Linked DNA regions of Mus musculus. The protein of the gene in region 1 purifies or fractionates together with the protein of each later gene. This does not show direct contact. Links are inferred from orthologs where the notes say so. Each region holds a gene or a part of one and is shown in the gene's direction. Other genes may lie near its edges. The genes, in order: Akap7 and Prkacb.

The links.
Region 2: the proteins of Akap7 (region 1) and Prkacb purify together in Homo sapiens (affinity purification with mass spectrometry; 4 studies listed by BioGRID and IntAct, counting the BioPlex papers as one, with this or other methods). This does not show direct contact. The link is inferred for Mus musculus from reciprocal best matches to the Homo sapiens genes AKAP7 and PRKACB.

What each region holds. Positions count from the first base shown.
Region 1 is NC_000076.6:25,294,226-25,298,736, reverse strand, and holds the start of Akap7 (A-kinase anchor protein 7), read left to right. Parts: upstream 1-1,657; 5' UTR 1,658-1,809; intron 1,810-2,000; exon of another isoform or gene 2,001-2,839; intron 2,840-2,845; exon of another isoform or gene 2,846-4,276; intron 4,277-4,511. UniProt on the Homo sapiens protein: Probably targets cAMP-dependent protein kinase (PKA) to the cellular membrane or cytoskeletal structures.
Region 2 is NC_000069.6:146,810,031-146,814,593, reverse strand, and holds the start of Prkacb (cAMP-dependent protein kinase catalytic subunit beta), read left to right. Parts: upstream 1-1,647; 5' UTR 1,648-1,910; coding exon 1,911-1,956; intron 1,957-1,963; exon of another isoform or gene 1,964-2,393; intron 2,394-4,563. UniProt on the Homo sapiens protein: Mediates cAMP-dependent signaling triggered by receptor binding to GPCRs.

The sequences.
Region 1 (4,511 bases):
TTTCCTCAGGGCTCCCCAAACTCTGAGGGGGAGAGACTGGAAGGAGACTTCCAAGTAGAGAGCTTTCAGCTCAAGTTTGGTGTGGGTCTCTGCATCAGCTCCCATCAGCTGCCAAAGGCAGCCTCTCTGATGACGATTGGGCTAGGCACTGATCTATGAGTACAGCGGAATATCATTAGGAACCATTTGCGATTTTCTTTTTCTTATCAAAGGTCTCTGGGCTGTCCAGCCTCTGGTTCCTGGTCATGCTGTAGTATCAAGCATGGGCTTCCTTTTGTGGCGTGAGCTTCAGACTAGAGCAGTCACTGGTTGGCCACTCTCCCAAGATCTTTGCCTCCTTTGCCCCAGCACATTATTTCAGACAGGGTAGATTGTAGGTGAAAGGTTTGGGGGCTGGGTTGGTGTTCTGGTTCCTCCACTGAAGTTATATCCCAAGGCTAAGGATTACACCACAGATGTGTGGTTAAAATAGAAACACAGCGCTTTGGTTTTGTTTTGTTTTTAAAAGGAGGGAAATCCAGGAGTGGGCTCTTGAGCTGAAGGAAGACACCTCGCCCCCAAGCATCAGACCACACATGAGGTGCAGAACCCACGTCTCCCAGGTCTGTAGCGTCCTTTGTGAAGCCCGAGGAGGGGGGAGTGGGGGTAGTGCTCTACTCTTTGCAAACTGGCTGTCAACCTTGCTGTGTCAGTGCACTGCTCCTACTCCCCAGTTACATAAATACACCTTTAAAACAGAGTGGGGAGTAATCCTTACAAAGAGAAATGTATAGTCTACTTCCAGCAGGAAAAGGGAGGGCAAAGAGTTGTTTCTCTGTCTACTGCGTAAAGTAATCCTTATGCTTAAACGTCTTATCTGTACCCTGTCCAGTCCAGCTAGCATCGGCTGGCCTTTGAGGATCCTCTTGCCGCAAGCTCCCTTACTTATTTTTCGTTCTTTCTCTGTGATTAGATAGCCTGCTCCTTTAAAAAGACCGTTTTCCGTGAAGATCCACAAAAAGGGGCTAAGCAGGGAATTCTTCAAAGTTCCCTACCAGCTTTAAGGGCTACAGCTGTGGAGAAGAGACACACCACCATATTTTCTTAAATTAAAATTACATTCCCCAACAAACCAGCAGTAATACCACCATTTGCCCCCAGCCCGGAAAAAAACAGTAGCATTCTTTTCTACAAGACATATTCATATTTTAACTATTAAAAAAAATAGTTTTCTCTTATTTTATTCAGATACTGAGGAGCCTTGCCTGCAAAAAATTTGTAGATGATTTCATTTAACAATTCCAACTTTTAGCTCTTAAACTGCTGTTGAAAATGCTACTTTTGGGGGGGGGGTAATGGCAAGTAAATAAAAGCATCTCATTATAGCGACGTTCAAGGTCTCGCTATTGTATTGTACATTTTGCTCAGCCCGCCTATTTTGCAATCAGATCTGTGTTTCCAAAGCTCCACGCTAAAGCAAACACACGGGTTCTCAAGGGACAGCGGGCCAAGGAATGCTCTCTGGATCCCTGGCTCGCCCCTCCGAGCGTGGGACGGGAAGGGCCGCGCCGCAGGAAATAACCGAGGGCGGCCAGAGGTCGGAGCCCGAGCCCAGCACGGCCCCGGGGACCGCCCCGATCCGGGTATCCACGCCTCGCCGGGCCGGCCCCTTCCGGCTCCTCCTGAAGCGGCGGGTGCCGGGGATGCTGCGACTCGCGGGGCGTTGCGCCTCCGCAGGCCTGGCCGCCGCGGCCCGCGCCCCCGCCGTCCCGCGCGCCCCGGGCCCGCGCCTCCGTCTCTGCGCCGCGACCATGGAGCGCCCCGCCGTGGGTGAGAGCGCTCCGCCCTGCGCGCCCCGGGGCGGCCTCTGCCGTGGGGCGTGCTCGCCCGCCCCGCTCCGCCTCCCAGGCCGCCCGCAGCCCCACGCCCCTCGCGATCGACCCTCCCCCTACACCCTGGGCATCCCGGTCCAGCCCGGTAGTCCGGGCAGTTTGGTTGCATCCGTGGGTCTCCGTGCACCACTCCACTCCTCGAACCGAAAGGGGTGTACACACAAGTTGTTGTTTCTCTTACCTCTTCCTATCTTGTGACCCATGACCCAGAGTTTTGCAGCACATCCTTTCCTACTGTGTTGGGGAGGTTAACAAAATCAAGGGGGGAAAAAAAAAACTCCGTTTTATTTACCTAATTATTTTTTAAAATGGCAAATAGAAGCCTCTGAACACTGTCTTGTCTCATTTAGGGTTTTACTCGAGGCTTGGCAAGGCACACTTTAAAACGGGCGCCAATCTGCTGGCGCCCAGGATGTACTTCAGCTTGGGTCAACTTTCGTTGTATGCTGAACCTGGGTAGGAATTAGAGGTTGGACTCGGAGGGAAAGGGACTGGGAAGTAAGGGGAAAAAGGTGTTCTACAAGAACACCTACATGTATACAAAGCGTAAGAATATTAAAATAGGCAGTCCAAGCATGCTATGTAAATACTTTATATGTATGTAAATATAAATCAGGTGAATAATGTACATGCGTTTATAAATTTCATGTGAATGCAATTACTCGTATCACGTGAGGAGATGCCCAGAGTGTCCCTGCTTGAGATGTTTTTATAAGGTTACAGGAGTGTGGGTAATAGGCAGAAGGGAATAGGGTAATAGTTGGAAAGAGAGGACTCTTCTCACCTTTTTACACCGTGTGGCTTTGCAGTTTGGGATGCTGTTAGCGCATCGTTTCCCTATAGTGACAAAGCTTATGGCACTTGTCCAGTTTACTGGGTCCTTCCATTCATGTAGTGTCGATTTGTCAATTTCTCCTTAATAATTTGGATTGCTCCCTCTTCATGAGGCGCAAATGGAAGCACACTGGGTAAGTGGCCTGGTTGGCATGAAGTTTAAACATTTCTGGAGACCTACTCTGCTGTTTTACGTAGCTAGTCGAAGTAGATAGACCGTAATGAATGACAGGCCCATTCCATAGCTGTTTACAGTGCTGGGGAACCAGAAGAGAGTCTTGCCCAATGAAGGTGTGTTTTGTTGTTCAGATAGGAAACTTACTTTGTAGGACTTGGGCAGTCTGTCTGTCTGTCTGTCTGTCTTTTTTGTTTTCTGTTTGCTTGGCTTTGGTAGTGTTTGCTGAAGTGTCCCTGTGATCTGAGGATTTGAATGCATTTACTTTCTTGGCTTGAGAAGATTCTTTACATACATTCATGGTTTTTCTTACAAAAGCAATATTCACTTTAGAAACAACCTAGTACAGTGGTTGGAAAGTATTTGGCATTCAGAAACACTTCAGCTTTTATTCTTCCTTTCCTACCCGTACGTCTTGGGAACATGCAGTTTTCTAGCTACTTTTTGACTTATGCTTGTTTTTGTAACACTGGGGATAAAGCCTAGGGCTTTGTGTATGCTAAGTCAGCATGACCTTGACTGCGTATCTGCTTGTTAGAGAGTCGCCTTTCCCCCTGTTGTTAGACTCCTCATACCGGTGGTTTTCAGTCACCAGAATGATCATGCACTGTTTAGTTGTTTCTCTGTTAGACATTTAAATTAGTTCCCCTTTTCTCTTTGCTTCAAGCAAGGTTGCGAGGAGGCCTGTTTGAGTGTATGTGAGAGGAACCCAGATTTCAGTAAGACATTTAGGCCATCTTCCGTGCTTCTCACCTGTTGACCCATTGCTTCCTGCCTCAGTTTACAGTGCTGCCATCAGTATATGGTAAAGAGTGATTCTGGAAACTGTGGGTCATGTGACATGTTCACGTGATCCGAATGTTAGCTCCTGAATCTACTTTACTTGTGGGCAGGTTCCTAAGTCGGTGCCTGGTGTAATACTAGTCTTCCCTATAACAGAGTTGTTAAGGTTTAAATGAGTTACTTAGCAAAGTGCGCGTGCCTGGCATAAAGTACCCATTACAATGTTGGCTAGTAATGCTGGTAATGCTAATGTCTAATTAGCAAAACTAGTAATTCTAGTATTGCTAATTTCCAGCTTCACGTCATCATTATTAGTGTAACCTTTACTCCCGTGATTATTTGGATTTTTGGAAATGATACACTTTGTTTTAGTGACAGACCAAATTTTGGGTGACTTTAAAATTCTTTGTGCCATGTGGCTCAGGCTGAGGGTAGCCTTGAACTCTTCACCTTCCTGTCTGTGCCTCCCTGGGATTGCAAGTGTGACCTAACACGCCTGGCTTACACACTTTGACATAGCTTGATGTACTTTGTAGAGTTGAATCTCAGTCTGGTACGCAGCAAGCAAGAGCTCTCTCATGGTGGTAGATCCCGAGCTCCGTTAACTTTACAGGTGAGACAACAATCTCACTAAATTAGTTGTATAGGTTTGTTTGTTTTTTTAATTTATTATTCTGCCTCAACTCTTTAAGTACCTGGGATTGCAGGTCTGTGCTACCAGGCTCAGTTTATTTAAGCAACATTACAGCAGCCAAAACAATGAATTTGTGCTTTAAATCTTAAAGATCGACTGTTTTAAGGCAGTTTTCCCAGAGAGAAGTATTTACAGCTTATGTAACAGGAAGTAT
Region 2 (4,563 bases), on another chromosome or scaffold:
AACAGGTAAATTATCAATTTTACAAGTACTTGAAGATCTTCACAAATAGTAAAGTCTGAAGAAGTGACTGATACAGTATATATATATCGATGATAGTGCACTAAGTTCCTGGCATAGTCTGAAGAGATATATATGTAGGGGTATGTTTGAGAGTTATGTCACAGTTTATTCCAGTTCGTGGTATCCCCCAATTAATAGTATCTGGTGACTAAGGTTATTTTCTTATCTTGGTATGTAAAGGACATTTTCCCCACACAATATGGCTTGTTGAAATGAAAGAGCACCAATGGTCTATTCTGAAGTTATAACCTTTCAATTGATTTTAAATAGAAATAATAAATATACCATTCTGGCGCTTTTTGAGATGGTATGGCTTTACCTTCTTCATTTCAAGGTCTTCTAATTAGCTTTGGATAAGTCCTTTAATGTCTCTGTGCCTCTGTGGATCTTAAGTAAAACAATGATAGTCTTGCCACATTTGCATAGGGACTTTATGAGGAAACTAATTACTATTTGTACAACACTTAGAACGCAGTATACTTGGTGTACATGCTTGGTAATTTAACATAATTGCCAATAATAGAAGTATGAATCTGTTTAGAATCTTCCACTCACCGCTACTTTTTTTCCCCAATAACAAAACTTTTAAAATGTTCTGGGAAATCTCCTTAGCAGCCAACAACCATCCGTTCATTACGCGCCAACTGTGGTTTGTGCTGCAGACACAAAATAAACTTACATGGTCTCTGCCCTTCCAGAAGTTAATCTTTCTGTTCTAAATTTGGAATGCTTTTTTTTTAGATAGCAAAAGCTCAAAAAAAAAAAAAAAAAAAAAAAAACCAGAACAAAAACTACCAGAGGGCTAGGTGATTAATTTCTAATAACCTCACGGAAAAGCTCAAGTACTCTCAGATGCATGGAAGCGCAACAATCAATTGGGAATGCGTTTATTTTGAAATTTGTGACTGTGTTGATGCACATAACGTACTTGTGTAAAACAGGCAACACATTCCCATATCTCTCCTTAGAAAGCCTGACAGAATTTGTGAGGGCAATCAGGTGAGACCATGAAGAAGGAACTCGGGAAGGGATAAGCTGTCAAGAATGTTGGTGATTGACCTGGTGTGTTGGGAGAATACCTAGAAGAGCGAAGGGAAGAAGTTCCAATGACAGCTGGGAGCTGAGAAAAGACATTCCTGGCCAACGCTGACCTCAGGGTCAGCAGGGTCGGCAGGACGCGGAGGGGCGCACGCACGTCCCTGCAGCCACGCAGGAAGATCAAGCGAGAGCAACCACGGCGTGCGGAACGCGGGCCACACGGATGCGGGAGCAGGCCGAGCCCTGGCACTGTGCCCCCCGCCCGGCTCTGGGGCACCGGATGCCAGGCCGAGGAAGGATCTGGGGTGCTTCCAAACTAACGGTCCCCACGTCCCTCGCTACTTCGAGCTTAGCCTCCGCGGCCAAGCCCAGCATCCACGCAACAAGCAATAAGTTACCGCTACAACCCTGCACAGAGGGGCTCCCGCCCGCCGGGGGGCTTGACCGCGTCACTTCCGGCGCGCCCGCCCGGAAAGAGGCGGAGGTCGCAGTCCGGGTGTGCGGCTCCTGGGGACGCGCCGTGTCGGGGACGCGCGTGGAGGGCGGGCTCGGGAAGGGGGAGTGTCCGCGCGCCGCCGCTGCCGCCGCCGCCACCGCCGCCACCGCCGCCACCGCCACGGTCCCGGTCTCTGCCGGAGAGCTCTCAGCATCTCTCCCGGACACCCAGCCCCTCCGTGCAGCCGGACGCCGCGCTCTAGGGTCTGCGGGAGCCTAGCCAAAGCCTAGCCAAAGTTGCTGCCGACTGCGGGGCGGGCGGCGGGACGGCCCCGGTCCCCTCCCCTCCGTCATCCCTGCTTGCGGACTCCCGGGTCATGGGGAACACTGCGATCGCCAAGAAAGGCAGCGAAGTGGAGAGCGGTGAGTCGAGTCGAAGGCCCTGGCTGGGTTCCCGCCGGATGGGCCGCCGCGCGGTGCAGCGCCCTGGGCCGGTGTCCCCCCCAAGGCCGCGCGCGAGCCACGGGCCGGGCCTTGCAGTGGCCGCGGGGGCCGGCCGCCTCCTCCTCTGTCCCCTCCCCCACGAAGGCTCGGGGGTGAGGGCCAAGCCCCGGGGCTCACTGGAGAGAGGGAAGGCGGGCAGCGAGGTCCCTGTGATCCCCTTTCTTACTAGAGCGAGGAGGGCTGCCACGGTCTGGAACGCGTCCCCAAATATGGTCCTTTTGTGATCGCACCCTTAGCTCTTCTTTCTCCCAGAGCCCCCAACACCCAGACCCTCCTTTAAGGGAGCCACAGGTAGTACGTTTGGGTTGACTTGGCTTTTTCTCCTTCTCCTGGATGTATATCAGTTTTCTCACAAGGTGAGTGTCCGTGAGGGTCTCCAAAGGTGACGTTAACCCTTAGTGTCTAAGGCTCTTTCTTTCACCCAAGAGATTAGAGATGGCAGACATAAATACAAGCAGCAACTTTATCCATTCGAGGAAAAATAAGTGAGACAGCGTTGCGTTTACTCTAGACATCCAGGAATGTTCCAGGATGCCTGTAAAACTTAGAGGCATTTCAGAGTTGAAGTGCTTTCTTCCGAGAGCTGAAAGTTCAGACGTTCAGTACTGTGTACAAAATTTCAAGACAAAAGGGTCGTGGGAATTGAGTTTCTGTGTAGCAACTTGGTTTTATATGTAAGCATACACATATATGCGTGTTGTGTAACAGGCTGTGAGAAAATTGTGTGCCATTATTCGGCTCATATTATAATTTATAATTCACAATAATTAGAGAACGGTCCCTGACTTTTGTTACATTGCCATAGGTTAATGACATCTCAGTCCTTGAAGTAAGTCTGACAATTTGTTCGTGTTACTGTAAGTAACGTCTTCCATTGTGTCTGTGTTTATAACAGAAGAATGAAGCCAATCTTGTAATTAGCTTGAAGCAAACAGCTTTTGATTCTCATGAACAAAGCAGAGTTGAGTTGACAGAAGAGAGTCTAGCTATTGCTTTTGTGGAATGTAAACAACAGTCAGATTTAACGGGTTATGTTTCATCAATAAGGTTCGTTCCAGGGCATGGAACAGCAGGGCAAACTGTTGGTGAGCATGTGACAACTTGAAAAGCCGATGTAGAATTAGGACTTCCTTGTTATCTTAGTAATTGTGCAAATGTAGTAACTAATTGTACAGACTCACAAAAAATGAAGTATGACAAAATACTATATCCATGTAACATTGCTTTTCCCCTATTTCTCTTGTACAATGTATGCTAATTGTGTTATGAAAATATGCTTGATAGTTGGATCAGCCCAGTAATTTTCTTAGCAAGTGCTATCTTGCACAGTTCTTATATTTTTAATGATAGTCCACTCTCCAGCAGTCTATACACTTCCCCTAGACGATATGCATTTAAACTAGCAGCTATGACAAAGTCTTGTGTGAACTTATTTATAGAAACTGAAGAACATTAGAATCATTTGAAAAATATTGTGAAGTGTCGAAAGAAGACAGCAGATGTCCCATGGGATATAGGAGACGGTCATGGCTCAGCTCTCAGGGCTCACAGGGGGAAGTGTCAGCCAGGTGTGCTGGTGCTCTTCTGTAGCAAAGAAGTGGTACAATGTCATAAAACGTAATGACAGAACATGGCTTACCACTCTGTCCCCAACTCTTCTGTGTACTTTTCAGATGAATTATTCCTGAAAATTTGTGGCTCATATTTTAAATGTAATCATTTAAATTTCTCTTGATACACAGAATACACTTTAAGAGATACACTTAAGAGTTTAGTCTACGAAATCATCCTAACTCAAGACCCAACCAAGTGCCAGACCTGAAGAAACAAGAATTGAGATCATGTTATCAACGAGAGAGTAAAGAACAGCTCTGAGGCTCTGACTACCTCTGCATCACTAATTAATCTGTCCTCTCTCAGAGTAGCTACCACCTGCTTGGGTTTCCTCGTAGACCTGTGGACAAGATCCTAAAGTGTCACTTACTGTGTAGCATCAGGTGAAAGGCAGAGTGTCAGTGCTGGAGCTGAGAGTAAATTAGACCACAAGACGTTACCAGCAGCACAGTGTTTGGTTTGAAGAGCTAATTAAAGATAGGAAGGTAAGATTTGCAGTTTGATGAGGAAGTGCCTCCCACAGACAGGGAATTCTAGAGCTTAATTCTAAAAATACTCCCAAGGAATGAAGTTGGGTATAAAGGTAAATGAACAGGCTTTGGGGGGTTGTTTTTGTTTTGTTTGGGGGAGGTTGTTTTGTTTGGGTGTTTTTTTTTTTTTGTTTTGTTGTGTTTTTGTCAGTGTTGTTTTAGTTTGCTTTGGTTTGCTTTGGTTTTGTTTCTTGTTAGCTTTGAGCACCCAGGGCCTTGCTCCTACACCCACAAAATTAAAGGATTCCATTCTGATCATCACAGTTTCTAGACATAAATTACTTTGAATTCCTCAGAGAACTGGGTGTTTCAAAGAACAACTTTCGCCATTATATAAGTCTCCCATGTGTTTTTAAAATTACTCTTGAAATAAATGTCTTCC